Pelodiscus sinensis: one gene and its partners. The protein of the gene in region 2 purifies or fractionates together with the protein of the main gene of each other region. This does not show direct contact. Links are inferred from orthologs where the notes say so. Each region holds a gene or a part of one and is shown on either strand. Other genes may lie near its edges.

What was found. Proteins that work in one complex are often made in the same cells at the same time.
Region 1: the proteins of PPP2R2B (region 2) and MTCL1 purify together in Homo sapiens (affinity purification with mass spectrometry; 4 studies listed by BioGRID and IntAct, with this or other methods). This does not show direct contact. The link is inferred for Pelodiscus sinensis from reciprocal best matches to the Homo sapiens genes PPP2R2B and MTCL1.
Region 3: the proteins of PPP2R2B (region 2) and IER2 purify together in Homo sapiens (affinity purification with mass spectrometry; 3 studies listed by BioGRID and IntAct, with this or other methods). This does not show direct contact. The link is inferred for Pelodiscus sinensis from reciprocal best matches to the Homo sapiens genes PPP2R2B and IER2.

What each region holds. Positions count from the first base shown.
Region 1 is NC_134712.1:84,712,820-84,719,872, forward strand, and holds the start of MTCL1 (microtubule cross-linking factor 1), read left to right. Parts: upstream 1-4,052; 5' UTR 4,053-4,676; coding exon 4,677-5,642; intron 5,643-7,053. UniProt on the Homo sapiens protein: Microtubule-associated factor involved in the late phase of epithelial polarization and microtubule dynamics regulation.
Region 2 is NC_134727.1:20,810,557-20,817,657, reverse strand, and holds the start of PPP2R2B (serine/threonine-protein phosphatase 2A 55 kDa regulatory subunit B beta isoform), read right to left. Parts: upstream 3,063-7,101; 5' UTR 2,757-3,062; coding exon 2,678-2,756; intron 1-2,677. UniProt on the Homo sapiens protein: The B regulatory subunit might modulate substrate selectivity and catalytic activity, and might also direct the localization of the catalytic enzyme to a particular subcellular compartment.
Region 3 is NC_134729.1:13,737,693-13,744,664, forward strand, and holds IER2 (immediate early response gene 2 protein), read left to right. Parts: upstream 1-4,202; 5' UTR 4,203-4,394; coding exon 4,395-5,054; 3' UTR 5,055-6,471; downstream 6,472-6,972. Other genes in the region: STX10 (syntaxin-10), read right to left, coding at 34-203, 763-797. UniProt on the Homo sapiens protein: DNA-binding protein that seems to act as a transcription factor. Involved in the regulation of neuronal differentiation, acts upon JNK-signaling pathway activation and plays a role in neurite outgrowth in hippocampal cells.

The DNA of each region.
Region 1 (7,053 bases), on a different chromosome or scaffold from region 2:
CCTTTCTCACATACATGCACACCCTGGTATGAGAGATGTGTATGAGGCTATGTGTAGACTGCAGGGTTAAACTCTGCTGCATCCAGGGAACACGTCCGCTTTTTCAGAAGTTTCCAAAAAAGCGGGCATTTTTATCATCTCTGTATTCCTCTCTGTAGCTATGTCTAGGCTGCAGGCTTCTTTCGGAAGAAGCTTTTCTAGAAGAGATCTTCTGGAAAAACTTCTTTCCAAAGAGAGCATCTACACAGCAAAAGCACAACAAAAAAGCAATGTGTTTTTTCAAAAGATAGCGTCCACATTGATTGGACGCTATCTCGCATTTCGGCTGTGATTACTGTGGATGGAGTGGCCACCAGGACACCTGTGCTTTTTCCTGGAGACTTCTTCTTTTGGAAAAAAAAACCTCTTCCCTTTCCACACATGCCGTTTTCCAAAAGAGCTCTTTTGGAAAAAGGCTTCTTCCTCATAGAAAGAGGTTTATTACTGTTGGAAAAACCCCTGTGGCCTTTCAACTGTCTATAGAAAGAATGCAATTGCAGTGTCGATATAAATGTAGTTTTTCCGGGACAACGGCTCTTTTTGTAGACATACCCAAGTGAGAGGAAACAGGGATGTTCTGAAAGAGGAGGGTTTTCTGAAATTTGGCCCCGTGTAGATGAGCCAAGTTTCAGAAAACCTTCTTCTGAAAAAAAAAAAGCTGTAAAACTCTGCCATCTAGACATAGCCTGAGTCACCCTCCATGTGTGAACACTAAATCCTTATAGATAAGGTAAATAAAAATAATCCAACTACACAGCATTGCTTTCTGACAGGGGCTCAGTTGACTTGATATTGGCTGCTGTTGAGTTAGCTTGAATATGGGTAATTTTGCCAGGTGTACAGTATTCAGTATAGGGAAATATGGTCACCCTATTTCCATAGTAATGTAAAGCCTTAGTGGGCATTATATACACAGCAGGGGAATTGGGGGGATTAAGCCCTAATACAGGGGATTAGGCCCTAACACTAGAGTACGCATACCACAAAAACCTGACAAATGTAATCAGTCAGTCAGGTGCTCAGTAAGGATTACCAATATTACATTTCTTGTTTACTCATTTAATAGACAACCACATTCAGCCTTTTACCCTTCCAGAGCAATGTAAACAGGTCTTGGTGTAAATGAAAATTAGGCCTTTATTGTAATGTATGTTTTGCTGTCTGTTGCTTTATTTCTTTTATATAGGCTTTTTGTTCCTTTGTTTTGCTTGAATAGTGGTGTAAACAAATCCAGTTGATGTTGTAGTACCCTGTGTATTGTATTCTGGCACCTGCAATTATTCTCTTCAGGAGACTGTGACAGTAGAGTATGCAGTGACAAAACAGCCTTTTTAAACCAAAGCATTTTATTTCCATAGTAGAAACAAAGCATTACAATGAAAGGGATTTGATATGCCTCTTACCTAAAGGTAAGACAAGAAATACCTGCTCAGAAATACCTATGTTTAGAAGAGCAACCTATAACAGCAAAAGCTTGGTAACCCAAGCAGTCCTAACTTCTTCAGCAATTCCAGCAACTCCTTTCCTGCCCTGGCATTCTCTTAAAGTGTTTGCCCAGAAATGGCTTATCTTTCTTCCCTGCAGGTTTGTTTTACCTTACATCACCCTATGACACTAAACCAATGTATTCATACAGTATACAGTTCAATTGCCAGGTCAATATACAGTATTTCTTAATTAGAGCAGAACAGCTCAATTTCTGTCATGAGACACTTAATTCAAAACAGAGGAAGTGGGAGGTATCAAGGAGCTTTATTCTATGCTTAAAAAATAAAGCAGAATGGTGGTGGCAACATATACAGAGCAAAGGAAACCCTGTGAGATCGAAGTTATGGGAAGATCTATCACTAGTAGCAGTTTTCATGATAATTAACATGACTTAGGGAGAGAGTAAACAATGGCTAGCTACAGAACACAACGTTTTACAAAAAGAGAACAGGTGCATTGTGAACATGTACCGTTCCAATCATCCACTGATAATTATGGCAACAAGAAAGCAGCAATACAGCTGCCTGTTAGAAAAGATTGAGATATATAATGATGTGTTACAAAGGCCACTGCATTGAAGTGCTGCTGCTAAACAGAGGTCAAAGCAGAGTCACTTCATGTTGGTCCTGCTGACACTTCTCTATCCTGTGCAATTAGTAATCAGTGAATACTCATCTTCTGTGCTAGAATAGAAGAGCTGGCTTAAAGCTAAAAACACGGGTATCACTTGCAAAAGGAGCTGAACTGATGTCTCCGGAGACCAATCTTCTCTTTTTGGGTAGGACATGCACCGACAGGCAGCAGCAAGTGCAAGCTTCGTCACACTGCTCAGAAATACCTTTTAGGATGTCTTTAGAAGAGCAGCCTATAACAGCAAAAGCTGGTCATTTTTCTACAGCTGAAGCTATCAGAAAAAAAATCTAAATTTCTCAAGAAAAAACATTATCTGCCTCACCATAAGGGTCTGATCTAATGCTCATTGAAATAATTTTAAACGTGTGCATTCTCTGCAATAGGTATTGGACCTGGTTCTAACAGCAGGAGAAAAGAAATTCACCCCCAGACATTCCATAATTTCCTCAGACTTTTCAATCAGACCTCTTCCAAAGTGTTGTCTCCTTGTGGAAGTTCCAGTCTCTTGTTTTAGGTTTGAGAAAAAGCAACAACACAACTGAGGCAGAATCAAAGCACAAACGGCTTTGCTCCTGACAACCTCCAGTGGAATGGTCAGTTTTAGATTGCCACTAAGCAATTCCAGAATTTAGCCACCCAAACATATCTAAGAGATTTTTGTGGGGATTTACTGCAGTGTTGCTTGCAAGTGGTTGCAGACACTAGTTTTGTCACATACAGTGCTATTCTTTATTACAGCCTTTCATAATCACATTCTTTGCAAAACAATATACATTACAAAATACAATGTCTGTGTAGGCACAGGCAACCATTAATATGCTCAGCAATAGCTCATACATACCATTGGCCATAAAAACCTCTCCTACTGAAAAAGTAAACTTTCCTCAGGCTACCACTTATCACAATTCTTTAATAAATAAAATTGCCAAGAGGTCTTTAAAGATATACATCACCCCAGTTTCTTGAATGTCTCATCCAGAGAATGGTACCAATATTGCAATACCTTCTCTACTGCACTGCAGCAGCAGATACAGATATAAATCTAAATTCCAGTGTGGCACTTGAACTCAGAGGCAGGCGCTATCCACTGGTTAGCATGCGCTGACTCTCTGGGAGGGATGAGTGGTTATCTGGCTTTCTTACATTCAGCAATCCTTGCGACTCCCACCTTTCATAGTAAGATACTGCATTTTGAATATTGAGTGAGACATTCAACAGTGCCAAAGAATGTTAAGCACCCAACTTCCAGTGACTAGAGAGCTGGACCATGAAGTCACACAGGCACGTTTTGAAAGAGCCTTCTATGCCAAGCTTTACACAGGAATGAATTAAGCCTCCCAGCACCTTTGTGAGATATGTATTTATTTACTATCCTCTTTTGACAGATGAGAACAGTGAGTCAGCAGAAGAGCCAGAAATCTCCTGTCTCTCTCTATGCTTAAACCACTAGATTGGGCAGGTCCCTTTTTGTGCCTTAATTCCTCCTTCCTTTCATTTAATATGTAGATACCTTTCCAATGTATCTCTTTACTGTTTTATACCCCGGTAAGCACCAAAGGGACTGTTCCATCCATTTTTTATTTCAGCACATAGCCAGCTACTGATCTTCTGGATAACTAGCTTTTACTGGTGTCTTCAGCAAGAGAAACTGCAGGTAGCAGATTGTTATTGAGGCAAACCTGTTGGGAGAGATTATTTGCAAAGCAGTGAAGTGCTAAAAAACATATTTAACCTAATAGCTGAAGTATGAAATGTCCTTCTATCTGGATTTATAGGTAGTAACTAGTCCAGGAGGCGTTATAAACACGCATACAGGGAGCTCTAGGAAAAAGTGGCTCGCACAGAGCAGTTTGGCTCGGTGACAGCGGGGGGAGGATCATGCGCACAGACCGGGGAAGCGTCAGGAGCGGAGAGAGAGAGAGACAGCAGGCTTTGCAGTTTCTCTATTTCAGCAGGAGGAGGAAGGACCCTGGGAAGATTGTAGGGCGCCGCAGGCGAGAGAGAAGGAGGGATGGGAGAGAGATGGGGTAGCCGCTGGGGGCGGAGGAATGAGGGTGTGTGAGCTCAGGGGAAAGAAGAGGAGGACGTTGGAAAACAAACAGTCATTCGCCTCGGACCAAAGGAAAAGCGAGTGGATGGCTCGGGCTGCAAAACAACTTGGTGCTGCATCAGGCTGAGCCGGGGAGCGCGGCAGGGAAGGAGAAAGCTGCCAGCCTGCCACTAACGGATTTGCCTGCATGTGATTGAACCGAGCCAGCGCCGGAAAGAGACGGAGGAGGGTGGGGGCTGCGCGGAGGGGCGAGGGTGGGGGTCAAAGAGGAAAAGTGTGAGGCTCGTGGCTGGGGAGCGGCAGAAGTGATGAGAAGACAAGCGGCGCGGCTGGGGGAGGCTGCTCGTGCTGCCGCGCTGTGCCCGGAGGCTGGCTGCCGCTGCCATTCCTGTGGGTGGCCAGGATTAAAGAGCCTCAAGTGCCCCACACCCCCTCGGCTGCGGCTGCTTCCTCCTCTGCCTGGACCATGGAGACTTTAAATGGCACCAGCCCCAGTGAGCCCCTCAAGCAGCCGCAGCAGCAGAGCCAGCACCACCCCTACAGCGAGAAGAAGCGACTGAACCGAGCCCCTTCCCCAGCCAGGCCCTTCCTCAAGGATCTCCACGGCCGGGCATCCTCCGCCAAGCCCCCGCCGGTGCCTCCCAAATCCCCCAGCCTCTCGGGGAAGCCGCCGCAGCCGGGCCCCTCGCCCCAATCCGCCGGGCTCCTGGCCACCCAGAGCCGCCTCTCCAGGCGCAGCGGCTCGCAGGGCGCCAAGGCAGCGGCAGCCGCTGGGGCGGGCGGGCGAACGGGCAGCGCCAAAGCCGCCCTGTGGAGCAAGAAGGCGTCCCGGGCCCAGGAGCAGGGGGGCGGCAAGGCCGGGGCCAGGCAGGAGCCGGGCCACCCGCCCGGCAAAGGCAGGAAGGGGAAGAGAAGCGCCCCCTTGCCGCAGGGTGGCTCCCTGGCCCCGGCCGCCGCGCCCGGACTGGGCAGCGGCCATGCGGCTCCGGCCAGGCTCAGCCACACGGACAGCAGCTCCGACCTGTCCGACTGCCCCTCCGAACCGCTCTCCGACGAGCAGCGCCCGGCCCAGGCCGCCAGCAGCGACGCCGAGTCCGGCACCGGCTCCAGCGACCGGGAGCAGCCGCCGCCGTCTGCCCCGGGCCGAGCGGGCACGCCGCTGCCCGGCGCCAGCCAGCCTCCCCCGGAGAGCAGCGCCGCCGCGGCGCGGCCCGCCCCGCCCTGCAGCCCGCAGCCCGCCTCGCCCGCCCCCGGGGCCAGCCCAGGCAGCGCGGCGGGAGACGCGGCGAGCTGGGGGCGAGCCGCGGAGAGCGCGCCCGGCCCGGGGGCCATGCGGCTGGGCAGCCGCGCGCCCGCCCCCTGCCAGCGGGCCGAGGAGGAGGAGCTGCTGCGGGAGATCGAGGAGCTGCGCTCGGAAAATGACTATCTCAAGGTAGAGCCCGCCGGGGGGGAGGAGGGGCAGGGGTGGGATGGGTTGGCGGGAAGGCGCCTCCCCCTCCCCAGTGACTAGCGGTGGAGCAGGTGCACGTGGCTGGGTGGGGCTGGAGCTGGAGGGGGTAGGTGGCAATTGTTGGATGGGCATTTTCCTTCTGCAGGTCGGGGGGGGGGGGTGTGAGGGGTCTGGAAGAATGTTTACAGTGGGAGTGCTGTCCTCCACTGAGCTTAACTGTATATAATGGAAACCAGCAACACCCGCACCCAAGGCCCCGCAGCTGTGGTGGGGTGGATGGGCCAAGGGGAGTGTTCATTGAGCCTATGGAGATCAGTAGCTAAGCGCTTGGCAGTCAACTAGTTGGCAGTGCCGCAAAAACTGGCACTTAAGGATATACAGGGGCCCTGACTGCTCTGATCCTTTGTCTCCAGTACAGTTCTAAGCACTGCGGTAGGCTGGATAAAACTTTTGGAAGATGGGGGTGTGTGGATGGCTTTGTTTTGAGTCTTATAAAATCTAGTCTTCCATAAAAGGCCTGCTGGACAGGGAAATCTGCTGAAAGGAATCCAGTACATTTCTCCCAAGTCAGCCTGCTGCAACAGAAACCATAAGGAGTAGATTCTTTAATTCAGATGCAGTAATTGTGTTAGTCAAAATTCAGAAGCTATTTTTCTGAAATCTAACAGTATTTTTAAAGTCAGCATCTCTTGGAAGAAAATCACCCACCAAATCAAAATTCCGGTTTTACTTGTTATATTCACCAAAGCCTTTAAAATAACATGGAAACACAGAAGGGCTATGTCTACACTGCCAGCTTCTTGCAAGGAACTGTTTTGCGCAAGAGCTTGTCCACACTGCCATGTACTTTTGCGCAAGAAATGTTCTTTTGTGCAAGAGTGTCCATGGCAGTGTGGACGCTCTCTTGTGCAAGAAAGCTCTGATGATCATCTTAGCCAGAGGGGTTTCTTGCGCAAGAAACCCCAGTTGCCCGTCCACATTGCCTTTTGCGCAAGAGCTCTTGCACAAGAGGGCTTATTCCTCGTGGGGAGAGGAAGAACTCTTGCGCAAGAAGCCCTTTGTTCCGACACTTTAATGTAAATTTACTTGCGCAAGAACGCGCGTGCAATGTAGACGCTCTCCAAGTTTTTGTGCAAGAACAGCTGTTCTTGCGCAAGAAGCCTGCAGTGTAGACATAGCCAAGAAGTGCATGAGTATTTGACCTTTCGTCAGTAGTGTGAAGATCTCCCTTCAAGCTGTGCCATGTCAAAGCTAAAAAAGGCAGCCAAGGAACAAATAATGCATGTGATCCTGTTTCTCTATAAAAGCCTGATTTGTGCAGTCTCTGGATGCATATAAATCCAAGGCAGCTTGCACTGTAAGGCTGTTAGGTTTAGCTGGTGTGTGATATTTC
Region 2 (7,101 bases):
CTGAAGTGCTTGACAGTCCTCCAGTGCCTTCATAAATTTCCACACCACCACCTCAGGAACTCCGAAGAACAAGTTATCCCAAAATTCCCCAGAAAGAATCATAGAATGGCTAAGTTTATTGCAGCACAAAAAACTTCAGGGCATGACCCCATGTCCTAGTGACAAATATGTGCAAGTGCATCAGCAGTAAAGGACACAGTCACACAAGTATGGCTTTGCACTGTGGTTCCTCAGAGGGATATGTTAATCCAGGCGCCAATCATCCAAGTTAATTCTTCAGTGAAGACATATACTCAATTTCATGTTTGGAAAACTTGAATTGTGTGCAAGAAAATACATCACACTTAAATTTAGCTTGGTTTTAGAAGCTTGCCCTTGCTTCTACTGATTTTTTTTTAATATCCTTCATGTCATCAATTTTCAAAATGTACAAAAGTTAGTGATCCCATATACGTCAGGATAGGCAAAAACTGTACATACATTACTCAACCCTACAAATATTTTACACATGTAATAATGCTTGTGCAAGTAACCACTCTGGCTTCAATGGGGCCACTTGCACAGGATCAAGGTCCTTATTAAACAAAATTCACATTCATTACAAATTGCTATTATTTTTACATTGAATGGTAGCAGGTAGACTTATGACCACATGTTTGGGCTGTGCTCGCAGCACACATAGCATGCAGAGGCCCCTTCTCAAAGGGTGCGTGGTGCAGAAATGCACGTGATCCCAATAATCGGCTGCTTCAGACTGGCATGCATGCTGGGTTGCTGGTTGGGAGCCACCTAGGGTAAGAACCTCCCAGCCAGAGCCTGCACCTGCATCACACTCTCTCCTGCACCCCAGCCTTCTGCCCTGCTCCTGCACCCTTCCCCAGGTTACAACCCCTCCTGCATGCAAATCCTCTGCACCCTTGCCCCAGGTCACAACTCCCTTCCAGACTCTGCACCCCTCTTACATCCCTCCCCCAGGTCAGAATCCTCTCCTGCACTGCTCCCTACTCCTGCGCCCCTATCCCCTGCTCCAGGTCACAATCTGCTTCTTCATCCAAACTACCTCCCAAATCCCACATTCCCTCCTGTATCCCAATCCTCTACCACAAGTTCTCTTCTTCACCCAATCTCCATCCCAGATCACACACATACTCATCAAAAAGTATGGCTTTTGACCACTTAAATTCTTGGAGTGCCCCCATCATCGGAACTTATTGCCCACCCTTCTCCTAGATCCATCTCATGTCAACAGGTGAGCAAAAACATTTTCAAACTGTTTAAGTGTTGTAGCTCACCATTCAATTGGCAAATATAAAGGAAAACTGAAATCATTCAATGTAAACATAACTAATAAAAAAAACCCTAAGCAAATAAATCATCACTGAAACCTTCCACTTTAAATAATTTCACTTGAAAATTATTTATGCAAAGTATCGCTAGATACTCTTATTGAAGTCAAATCACTTCTATCTCCTATAATTTTGGCTCCCAATATGGAAAAAAATCAGAAATTATAGAATGAAAATAGGTAATTTGATTTCTAAAACAAACTATGTAAGCCAACACACCCCGTAATACTTCATTTAAGCACTTATTTAAAACTTCCATGGGGCCAAAGTGTTCTCTGTTATCCTTGTGAGACTCTATATATTAAGAATAGCTCCACTGAAATGAAGACTTTTTCTAGTGTTAAGGCCTCACTCTGTAAACACGTGATACTCAGTGTGATGCTTCTACCTTGAGCAATGTCATGGTAATGATTGCATTATTGGGCCCTTACACTAGCACAAGGAAGAGCATGATTTGGACCTTCTCACTCACATCAACTTTCCACTACTTGCAAAGCAATACTCTGTCTAATTAGACATTCATTGATAAACATGTTTAGATTTTTTCCTACAAATCTTTCATTGTATAAGATGTGTGAAAAAATATTTCAATTACAAATAGGGAATTAATATCAGTATAATTTTTTTATTTTTCCTGGCTGTCAGAAATTATTGTAGGTGATTCACAAAATTGCCTGCTAGTTCACACATGATAGACATACATACATGATTATAAACTAGCAGGAGAGAAAGCTCCTTATGGAAGGGGGAAGTAGCTGTCCCACTAAAATCAAGGGTATTAAGTTCAAACCTTAGATTTAATATTAGGTGCTGCACACCCTTACTGCTAAGAGCTGAAAAGGGCTCAAGTGAAGGAGTAAAAGAGTGAATACTACACAAACCAGTAAAATGCTAAAATGTACTTAATTGCTTTCCTGGAAATGCACAGCTGAGTTAAACTGTCAATGAGAAAAGTGTATAAGCCTGTAAAAATTTCTGGTAAATATCTAGTGACAGTTTTTCTTAAAATCAGGTCTGATTACTAGTTTGCATAGTAAGTGTAAACATAGTAGAAAAATCATGAATATTTGCAGAAATAATCTGCTAAACGTTCAAACCAGTCTTCCTCTCGACAATGGCTAGCTAATGATAACAGTGTCCCCTTGCTTTCCACAAGGCTGAACTAATTTCTAAGTCTGGCACACGTAAGCTTTCGCCAGCAATCACTGCCGTGTATTAGCAGCAAAAGGCAATGTCATCAGAGCTTTTGGGGCAGTCATGCTCCTCTCCCACTTTTTCCACACACCCCACATTTCCCCTCCTCCCACCAGTCGTCCACTACTGAGCTGTACCTTCTGTGTGGCAGCTGCAGGCGAGGACGGTGTTCGGAGGTCTGAAGATGTAAGGCAGGTAACGAGAAAAGCATTTCATCTTCCAAAAATAAATTTAAAAATTAAAATAAACCAAGTCTCCTCAGTCCATGAGAAGTCCGTCTGCTTTCAAAGCAGACCGCATGGTAGGTGCATTACAGGACCCCTCCTGGGTCTGCAGAGCTGGGAAACCCAAGTAATCGCTGTCGCCGGACCCCATTTTGCTATCAGCAGCAAGCACCAGGAAGAGAGCCGCCTCACATTTCTGCATGCATGCTGCTCGAACTCTGAAGCCCCCAAGCAAGCTGGGATAGGCTCTTCATTGGCTGGAGCTCATCAGAGCAGGATTTGCTGACTAAGTCAGTCCTGCCTGTAAACACACACCCTGAACGACACTGCCCGCAATATCCTGCTCTCCTTTAGGTCTCTGTTTGTCTTCTTAGAAAGAAGGGAAAACAGCAGAGTCTGGGAACAGGGAGACTCTGTGACCTTATCTCATTCTGGGTAAAGGTCTTAATGTAACCAAAGCTTTATAACTTTGTCATCTGAGGGAAGGCAGCTGTTAAAATAAATAACCCAGGGAAGATGTGGATTTCAAGAAAAATAAGAGAGGATGCACGGAAATGGTTTCTGCCCTTGTTTTATTAAAGAACTGGGGGAGTGTTGAAAAACAAAAAAGGCATTTAGTTTTTAACCATAGCTGCAGCATAAAAACATCCTATATTTACAGGGAGCCTTTCATTTCAAATAGTGATAGAAATGTAGCCGTGTTAGTCTGGGGTAGCTGAAGCAAAATGCAGGACAATGTAGCACTTTAAAGACTAACAAGATTGTTTATTAGATGATGAGCTTTCCTGGGCCAGACCCACTTCCTCAGATCAAATAGTGGAAGAAAATAGTCACAACCATATATACCAAAGGATACAATTAAAAAAAAGTGAACACATATGAAAAGGACAAATCACATTGCAGAACAGGAGGGGGATGCGGGGGGGGGGGGGGAGGAAGGAAGGTAAGTGTCTGTGAATTGATGATATTAGAGGTGGGGAGAGTGGGATGTCTGTGAGCTAATGGTATTAGAGGTGATAATTGGGGAAGCTATCTTGGTAATGGGTAAGATAGTTTGAGTGTTTGTTCATTCCTTCCCGGAGAGTGTCGAATTTTAACATGAATGACAGTTCAGAGGATTCCCTTTCAAGTGTAGATGTAAAAGGTCTTTGTAGCAGAATGCAGGTGGTTAAGTCATTGAGAGAGAGTCCTTTCTGGTTAAAATGGCAAGAAACTGTTTTTTCTTTGTGATCTTGTCTGATATCTGTTTTGTGGGCATTAATCCTTTGGCGAAGTGTCTGAGATGTTTGTCCAATGTACATAGCTTCCCCAATTATCACCTCTAATACCACTAGCTCACAGACATCCCACTCTCCCCACCTCTAATATCATCAATTCACAGACACTTACCTTCCTTCCTTCCCCCCCCCCCCCCCCCCCGCATTCCCCTCCTGTTCTGAAATGTGATTTGTCCTTTTCATATGTGTTCACTTTTTTTAAATTGTATCCTTTGGTATATATGGCTGTGACTATTTTCTTCCACTATTTGATCTGAGGAAGTGGGTCTGGCCCACGAAAGCTCATCATCTAATAAATCATCTTGTTAGTCTTTAAAGTGCTACATTGTCCTGCATTTTGTTTCATTTCAAAGGAACTCAACATGCTTTGCAAATTATGTACAAACAACTGACAGACAGCCCAAAAAGGATGTGAGGATGATATGGAAAGGGGACTATAACTAGGTTTTCTGGTAACTGGTGGCCTGTGAGGAGCATACTAACTAATTTTAGCTTCTATAGCTGTATGGTTCTGCAAAACACAAACATGAAACAGTAATTTCAGCACCCAGCAATTTCCAGTGCAAATGTAAAGTTACAAATGCCTCAGTAAGAATGACAGCAATTTCTATATGAGCAAATTACCTTCTCCACACATGAGAGTACCATTAGGTGTTCCCATAGTAGTCAGGTATTTGGTTAATATTTTTACAGCAATTTAGGGCATAGGAGTAACCAAGAAATATTAAAAGGGATATTAAAAACCGTATTATGAAAATTAAACCACACTATGAAAATACCTTTTACTGTGCCCTTGATTCTCTTCAGTCAGTGCTGTAAATCAAACACTTCAGCATCCAGATCATCCTGGAGGCCTCTTGCATTCAAGAACATGTGTCTAGATCAGTCCTTCTCACACTTGTTCACCTTGTGTTCCACTTCTTAAGACAGAAATATGCACACATATATGTGCATTCCCTGTTCCACACCTTCACTGCAGCAGCTTGCTTGGTATACATGGGTATAGAGCTGTGCATTTATCAGGGCCAAATCTGCCCCTGTTACCTGCAGCCCTCCTTTTCACTTTCTCTAATCACTCCAGGTTACTTTTGTAGTTTGGGACTTTCCACCTGTGTGGAGGGATCTCCAGTTCTCGTCATCCGCGGATTTAATCACAGTTGCCTTGTATACAAAAGACAACCAATAGACATGAAACAGTTGTGCAGGTGCATGGAAAAACATGGAGTTTTATTTTCCTTTTCATTGCCGTTCGTCAAAATAAATCCCTGAAAATGCAACAACAAAAAAATCTGGGACTGGACTACAAATAATGAAAAGATTTCTATATTACTGTTTATTATTACAGTTTATTTTAGGAAGTGATTAATGTCATAGCCAATAGAAACGACACGGGAAAATTAGGTTCATTCTTATACATAGTTCCATGGTATCATGTGAATAACCACTAAGTTCTCTCTTGAGTCCAACCTCTCAAACAGAGCACAGCAAAGTATAGAGGTAGTTGTGAATTGACAATGAGTTATTTGTAGTCCCTACATTTGGGGATACTTTTATTTCAGCCCAGTCATATGTGCGGATTAGAGCAGCCTAGGGCCTCCGCTAAACTATATCAACTGGTAACGGTCCTTAAGGAGTTTCCCTCCTTAGGAGAATCAGAGCACTATTGTTTCCTATTCTGACTATGACCCTGCCACTCATGGAATACTCCCACATTGCATATATGAATGTGCACATATGACATTTCAAAAAGGCGGGTAAAGGCATGTGAATGTGGCCCAAGTGCCCTGTCCTGCAGGAAAGACGTCTGGGTCGCAACCAGTGTGCCTTGTGTCAAAAGGAGGGACACTGGAAAAATGAATGCCCCAAAAGAGAATGTGCCCCCATGATGGCAGCAGAGACTCATGAATAGGGTGTCAGGGGAAATAGATCATCCTGCCCCCGGAACCCCGAGTAAAAATGAGGGTGGGAAATTCGGAAATAGACTTTTTAGTGGACTCTGGGGCGGCACGAACCGCCGTAAACCAACCCCTTCAGCTGCCCATGGCGGACTCCCTCACTGTGGTGGGTGCCACAGGAAAAGGAGCCCAGTGTCCAGTGTATGCCCCAGCAGAATGCACTCTGGGAAACAGAACTATAACTCACAAGCTGGTCTATCTCCCCGAGTGCCCAACACCGCTGCTGGGACAGGACCTGCTTTGTCGCTTAGGTGCCACCCTGCATTTCACTCAGGATGAAATAACCCTAACCTTACCCCCCGAGAATGCCTGGATAATGACTCTGGCAGCTGAGCCCTCTGCCGTGCAAGCCCCTGAGTGGAGCCAGTGGGAGGATCAGGTGTACCCCCTAGTATGGTCATCAGGGGTCCCGGGAAAGGCCACACACCAAACCCCTGTCAGCATTCAGCTCCTCCCAGGCAAAAGCCCGGTGCGGATCAAACAGTATCCGATTAAGAGGGAAGCCAGAGAAGGGTTGCAGGAGACTATAGACCGGTTCTTAAGCTGCAGTACACTTCAGGAATGTCAGTCAGCCTGGAACACCCCCATCTTGCCTGTCCGGAAGCCGGATGGCACATATCGACTAGTCCAGGACTTAAGGGCGGTTAATGAACGGGTTAATGAAGCTCCACACGCCATGGCGACCGCAGGCCAGTGGAGTGGTGGAACTCACAAATCAGACCCTTAAGCGTCACCTCTCGAAAATCTGTCAAGAAGCCTCCCTACGGTGTCCTGATGCTTTGCCCATTGTTTTGCTCCACATCCGCGCTCTCCCAAAGGGTAGATTAGGGCTTAGCCCCTTTGAAATTATGTTTGGAAGGGCATGGCCTATGAATGGGACACCGGCTCTGGCAGGGGAGTGGGAACTGGGATGCGGCTTTTTATCTCAGTATATGTGCTCTCTGTCTGCTGCTCTCTCTTCTCTTCACAGGGTACACCAAAGACTCACAGCCTCTTCCGCTGGATGCCCCTGTCCACTGCTTGCAGTCGGGAGACTCCGTGCTCATTTGTACCTGGAAGGACGAGCCTCTCCGGGAGAAGTGGAAGGGACCCCACACTGTCCTGC
Region 3 (6,972 bases), on a different chromosome or scaffold from region 2:
CTCCTGCGGGGGAACTGGTCCCCAGAAGGATATCAATGGTCTCCTCCAGATCCTCCAGGTCCCACTGGATGCTGCGCAGGTTGTTGCGCAGCTCGTTGGTGGTCCAGTCGAACTCCTCGGAGCTGACGACATGGGTCTCCTGCAGCAGCTCGCACCAGCGCTGGTAGAGCCCCTGGGCCGTGTTCACAGCCTTCTGCACTTCCCTGGGGGCAAAGAGAGGGGGGCTGAGGAGGGGGCGAGCGAGGAGCAGGGCAGGGATCCCCAGGAAGGTGGCCTGGTGCTGCCAGGTCTTGCCCCGCTACTCTTCAGTCCCCACCCCAGAGGTGGCTGCATCTCGCACTAGGCAGGACCCCCCAGCAGCCCTGGCACCCTCCCAGCGAGGACTGGGAAGGGGGTCTCTCCTGCACAGGGTGGGTGGGGAGGATCCTGGTGGGGCACGGGGATAGGAGAAGGGTCTCTGCGGGGGAGGGGGGAGGGGAGTTCTCCAGGCGCGAGGAAGTGGGGCGGCCGGTGGGAGGGGGTTGTCCAGCGGCGCGGGAGACGGGAGGAGGTTTCTTCCGGGGGGCGGAGAGACGGGACGGGGCAGGGTCTGTTTAGGGGCGGGACGGGGGGGGGGAGAGAGGGCGGGACGGGGAGGTTTCTCCAGGACGGGGGGGGGGGCACGAGGGCGGGGGGGTTTCCCGGGGGGGATTTCCCCGGGGGGGGAGGCTTCCCCGCCCATATTCTAGGGGCACGATCCTGCGCGGGCCGCGGCCAACTCACCCCCGCACGGCAGCGAACGGGTCCTCCAGGGCCATGCTGCCCCGGCCCCGCTCCTGCTCCGGCTCCGCTCCCCGCCGCGCCCCGCCATGTGACCGGCGCTGGCCCTGCCCTCCCGAAGCTGCGGCCGCCGCCTTTGCTGAGGGCGGGGCGGGCCTGCCCGGACTTGGGGGGGAGGTGGCGGCTCCCCCCTTCTCAGCCTCCGCGGGGCGGGGGCTGCGCTGATCCCTAATTCCCGGCCCCGACCCGCTCCGCGCAGAGAAATTGAAGCCAGGAGTCCGGGCCCCCCACTTACCCCAGCCGGGGGGCTGGCACTGGAACCCAGGAGTCCTGACTTCCCCCTCCCCCACTCTAGCCACTAGGCTCCACTCCCTGCCCCCACAACAAGGGCTAGAACCTAGGAGTCCGTCCGGCCCCGCCCCCAACCATTACGCTCCCCCCCCCCCCCCAAGAGCTGAGCACTGAACCCAGGAGGTCTGACTCCTCTCCCCCATGTTCATTTCATTCCAGCCCAGCCAGTGGGACTAGTCCCTGCTGGTGCCCCCCCCCCCCCGGATTTCCCGGGACTCTTGGCTGCAGACGCCATGGGAGCCCGGCCCCCAGGCGGCTCCAGGATCCCGGCCTTTGAGGGGTGACAGGCAGCGCTTGAGACTAGCAGGCTGGGAGCAATAGCGGGGAGGGGGCTGCGTGCCCTGAGGTTGTGGGATGCGCGATTTGTTGAGGGGAGCCACAAGGGTTGCTGTGAGGAGGGGGGTTGCCTGTCAGAGTGTGGGGGGACTTGTGGCATGTGTGTGAGCTGTGTACAGCTAGATTGTGTACAGGCAGAGTGGTGAGGCAATGGGGGGGCATGGGGTGATATGCTGGTAATCAGATTGGGGGGAGGGTATGGACAGGCATCCTGTGAGGTGTATAGGTAGCTTGTGGGAAGAGTCGCACGTGGTATGTGTGCAGTCAGGTATTTGGTCAAGTTGTGGGGAGAGTTCTCGGAGATGTGTTAGGGGAGGTTAGGGGTGGAAGTGTAGAGCCAGATGGTGAGTAAGTTAGGTAGTGTTGGGGAGTTGTGAGTGGGTGGGAGAAATGGGCTGTATGGGGATGTGTGTAGTCAGGTTGTGTCTTCTTGGGTCGGGGGGATGTTGTGGGTGGATGTGTTGTATGTGGGGAAGGGATTGGTTGTGTCAAGTCAGACTGAAGGGGTTGTCATGTACTTAGGGTGATAGGTGGTGGAGAGTTTGTGTGGGTGTTAGGATGACAGGTGGTAAATGGGGGAGGGCTGGGGGTGACAGGGAGGTAGGGGTGACTGAGGGAGACTGGGGGTGACTGATAGGTGGGGGCTGGCTGGCTGGCTGGGATGCGATTGGAGACGGGGGGGTGAGAGGCAGGTAGGGGAGTTTTTAGGGAGAGATTGAGGGTACAATCAGGCAGTGGCTGGGGGGAGATCAAGGACTGGGGGTGTGAGAGGCAGGAGGGGGAGTTGTTAGAGATTGAGGGGACAGGCAGGTGGGGTCTGGCTGGGGGGACACAGGGAGCTGTGGGGGTGAGGGGCAGGAGGGGGAGTTGGGGAGAGTTAGAGGGGGCAGACAGGCGGAGACTGGCTGGGCGGAGATTGGGGGTTGTGGGGGTGAGGGGCAGGAGGGGCAGTTAGAGATTGAGGGGACAGGCAGGCGGGGTCTGGCTGGGGGGAGATTGGGGTAACAGGCAAGCGGCGGGTTGCTGGGGCGCCTGGCTGGGGGATGGGCGCATCCCACGTGCGGTGCGCGGAGGCAGGCTGCGGGGGAGGGATTTGCAGCGCGGGCAGATGGGTTTTTCCTGGTAGGATCCCGGAAGGAGGCTCCCCATAGCCCGCAATGGGGCCTTCCAGCCCTTGCCCTTATACGGAAAGAGGAAGCGAGCGGCGCTACAATCGCAACCCGGGTTGGAACGTTGGTGCGCGCCGCATTCGCGGCCCGCCCCCTGTCGTCATGGGCCCCAAATATAGTCATGGAAACGGTAACCAGGGAAGGCTGGGGTGACCTCAACAGTGGGGCGGAGCCTCCGCCTCTTCTTCCTTCCTCTTAAAGAGCCCGCGGGGGGAAAGGGCCTGTTGGCTGAGCGAGTATCCTCTGGGTGGCGGGGCCCGGGGGCTTAACTTTAACTAGCTGAAGCCCCCCCCCCCGCCCCCGCACTGACCCCCGGCCAGGGGAGGTGTCTTGCAAGGCCCGTTGCGGTGCATCCATGCAAAGCATGCGGGCTGGGAAGGTGTCACTGTTGGCCTCGGGGAGAACATGGCCCTCAGCGGAGGAGCTGGGCTCCATTGCATTGCCACGGGGGGTGCCCAGGGGGTGACTTGTAACAACCCAGAAAATGCCCCCCCCCCCAGCTGCAGGAAGCTTAACGCGCCCTGGCCTGGACGGGGCCACCTCCGGGGTGGGATCCAGCTGCGGACAGACCGCTTCGCCCCCCCGGGTTTCACACACGCAGCCGATGTTGGCGGGGCTGTGCCGGCCTCCACGCAGTCTGCCAGTCGGAGCGGGGTGTAACGAGCCGAGCCGTACGGCAGCTCGCATCGGGCGCACGCCACAGGAGTACGGTTTCATTCACAAAGAGTTCTGGCTCCGATTTGGGATCCGCTGTAGTAAGGTTTGTTTATTTGCATGAAACCAGATGCTAGAGAGCCTTGTGCAGACACACGTTTTGCAGCCACCACGCCAATGGGGCGGTTGCTCCAGTCCGTGGATTTAAACACAGATTGCGCTGTTTATCTACACACACACAACGGGGTTTGCCTTTGCCTTGGAGCTGCATTCCAGCCACCGCGCAGGGCGGTTTTATTGCGGCTGTGTGGCTGCGTTGGACGCAGGGAGAGATTTATTTGGCAGGCTGCAGTAAACAGAGAGCCGGTCTCGCTCCTTGTAACAGACACAACAACGTTGCTCGCCTTGCTTGCGTTGCGCCGAAGAGCTTGGCCTCGTGCGCATTTCAGGGCATTGCCCGCAGACCCGGCCGCGCGGCCCTGCCCACGCGGGTGGCCCCGGGGCTGCCGGGGTGGGTCGCATTGCGCGTGCACGAGGCGCTGCACTGGAGGCGGGGGCGCGCCCCCACCCGCAGGGGGCACGAGCCGCTGCATCGATTGCCCTGCCCGGCCATTTGGCGTCGGGGGGGGGGCTCCCTCCGGCCGCGGCGCTGCGCGTGCAAACCAGCCCCGGGCTCCACGCTGGACGCGCACAATGAAGCGCAAAGTTTGGGGATGTCCCTCCCCCCTCCCCCCGCGCTCCGGCTGCCTGGTTGCTTTGGCCAGCGGCTGCCCGGCAGGGTCCCTTCGGCTTCCTCCCCCTCCCCCACGCCCTGGCATTTCCGCCCCTCCCCCCACGGCGGCTGGGGGTGGCGGCGCGTTGCACCGGCCGGATGCGGCTGAGGGAGTGGGCGGGGGCGGCCCGGGCGCTGAGATCAGCAGGGGTATAAAAGCCGCGGAGCGGGGCGCGGCTGGGCTTAGTCCGGGCGGCTGGTCGGAGGCGGAGGAGCGGAGAGTCGCGAGCGAAGGCGGCGGCGCCGCAGCAGCAGCAGCAGCAGCAGCAGCTTCGCCCGGTGGGCGCGGGGGTGGGCAGACCCGGGCGCAGCCCCTCCCCCCAGCTCCGGCAGGGCCCGATCCTGCGCGCGGCATGGAGGCGCAGAAGGAGGCGCAGCGCATCATGACCATGTCGGTGTGGAAGCTCTACCACTCCCGCCTGCAGCGCGGCGGCCTCCGCCTGCACCGCAGCCTGCAGCTGTCGCTCGTCATGCGCAGCGCCCGGGAGCTCTACCTCTCGGCCAAGCTGGAGGAGGCGGAGGCAGGAGGCGAGGCGCCCTGCACGCCGGAGCAGTCGGCCGACCCCGGCCAACCCCCGCCGGAGGAGCGGGCGGCCCCCGCGGACTGTGCCGCCGCCCCCGGCGCGACGGAGCCCATGGAGACGCAGGAGAGCGGCGGGGAGCCGGCCCTGGCGCCCGCCTCCCCGGGGAAGCGGCCGGCGCGGGGCGTCTCGTTGCCCGGCGCGGGCAAAGGCAGCAGGAAGCGGCGGAGCAGCAGCCTGGACAAGCCGGGGGCGGCCGAGGCCGGGCTGGCGCCCAGCAAGAAGGCGCGGCTGGAGGAGGAGGCGGAGGGCGAGCGGCAGCCCCAGGGCCAGGACGGCCCCTTCCCCAGCCTGGCCAAGGTCCTGCAGCACCAGTTCGCCGGCAGACTGCGGAGCGGCCCGGCCAAGGGCCCCGATCCCCCCACGCCGGGCTGCCGGCCGGGGGACGGCGCGGTACTGAACATCCTGGTGCGAGCCGTGGTGGCCTTTTGAAACCGCTGCCCCGCCGCTTGGGGGGACTCGTGGCTGCGGGAAGCTGCCCCGCGGCGCGCCCGGCTCCTGGCGGGAGCTGGGGGGCGCAGCCCCTCTCCCTGGAGGAGGAGGGGGCGAGGAGCCGGCCGGGAGAGACACGCGAGGAGGAGGCTGGAGGACGGCGGAAGAAAGATCGGACTCTCCCCTCCCCTCCCCCGCCCGCTGCCCTCCCCACCCGGCTGGGACCGGGGGGAGGCGAGACAAAGGGCCGGGCCGCAGCGGGGCGAGAGACGCCGCCGCCTCCGCTTTGTGTGCGGGGGGACTGGGGGCCTGCCGGGAGGGCGAGCCTTGGGCTGACTGGTGCTATTTGCCGCCCCGCGCTCTGGGGGGGCCGGGCTGGGCTTCGGTAACTTGAGACGTGGGCCTGCTTCTTGCTCTGGGTCCTGGGGGCAGCCGGAGGGGAGGGGCGAGCTGGCGGGTTTCAACCCGAGCCGGAGCCGAGAAATACTCCAGGCCAGAGCTCCTGGATCCAGGCGGGTTTCGCCAGCCCGGGGGGGGGTCGTGGGAGGCCCGTTTCCTTCCTCAGGGGTTCACGCTTTTCTCGAAAGTGCTTCACCCCCCCCCCCCCGCCTTTATTCTTTATCCGAGGAAAAGCTCTGAGACGACCCCCCCCCCCCCCCCCCCCACTTCCAACCAGTCTGACAAGTTCTGACACAGCTCATATGACCAGCCATTGCATCACGCTGGGTGTAGCAGGGCAGCGGGGAATTTCCTGTTCGGCCACCTTTAGATGTTGTGTGTGTACGTGGAGCTGGTTTTTCAAGGGGGGGGGGGAGTGGGTGTCAGCCTGACTCATTCAGCCCCATAAAGAGGAACTGAGTCAGGGCTGGCTGGCTCTTAAAAACTCCAAGACAAATGAAAATGAGAGAAGTCACAGAGGCTGGAAGGTTTTTATTTCTCTTTCAGTCTGGGCGAAAGGCAAAGGGAGTTGGCCTGTTCTCTGGAGTGGTGGTTGAACGGCCCCGCATAAAATGTGAGTCTTAAACTTGGTCTGAATTGCTGAGGACAGAAAAAAGAGGGTGTCTAAGACTGACCGCATGCCCCCCAAGAATTTCAAAGGAGAAACTATTCCATGTTCCAATCCCATTGTAAACCACTGAGAACTGGCGGTCGATTGTCGATGCTTTTACATGTACGTGTTAACAAATAATTCTTGGGTTCCCCAGTTTCCTAGCTGTCTGCCCAGGAAACTGGCAAAGGGGTGAAAACAATCCTGCCCTCACCAAGTGTGTTACCCACATGTCTTGAATGTTTGTAAGTTATTTCTCTAGTTCTTTTTTTATTGGGGGGGAACTGCAGGCTGGGCTGGGCTGGGCTGGGGTTTCCTCCGCTGTCGTTATTTTTTTGTTAATGAAATAAAGACCATTTGTGAAACTGGCCCAGTTGTGGCTCTCCGGGTTTGTCAGGAACGTGGGAAATGGGTGGTTTTGAAAAGGCCTGGCTTAAGTTGAGGGGGCTTATCCAGGCTGGCCAACCTCAATGCCCACATGGGCTCCTAACCCCTCCCTAGGCTCAATCCTTTGATTACTGTAGGGCCCAGGTGCTGCTGTGGGAGGAGACGGATTCATGGGGGGGGGGGGGGCTGCTGCCTGGACCTCTTCCCCTCCCCCCTCAGTCTTGGCCTTTATATCCCTTTGTGACCTTTGCCCCTGCTGGGCTGTGGGGTGACCCTGGGGCAGGCTGACAAAACACCAGCTTGTGCAACTGCCCTTGGATGGGGATGGGGGTGGGAGTGTAAACAGGAGCCATTTAAATGGCTGGGTAACTGGCTCGAAATTCCCTTAGAAACACAGGAATCTAGCCAGTGCGGGAGGGGGGAAGTTAATGGCCGTGTGTGCCCTGAAACAGCTGGCGAGACTTCCCGGAGGGAGCTGCGCGT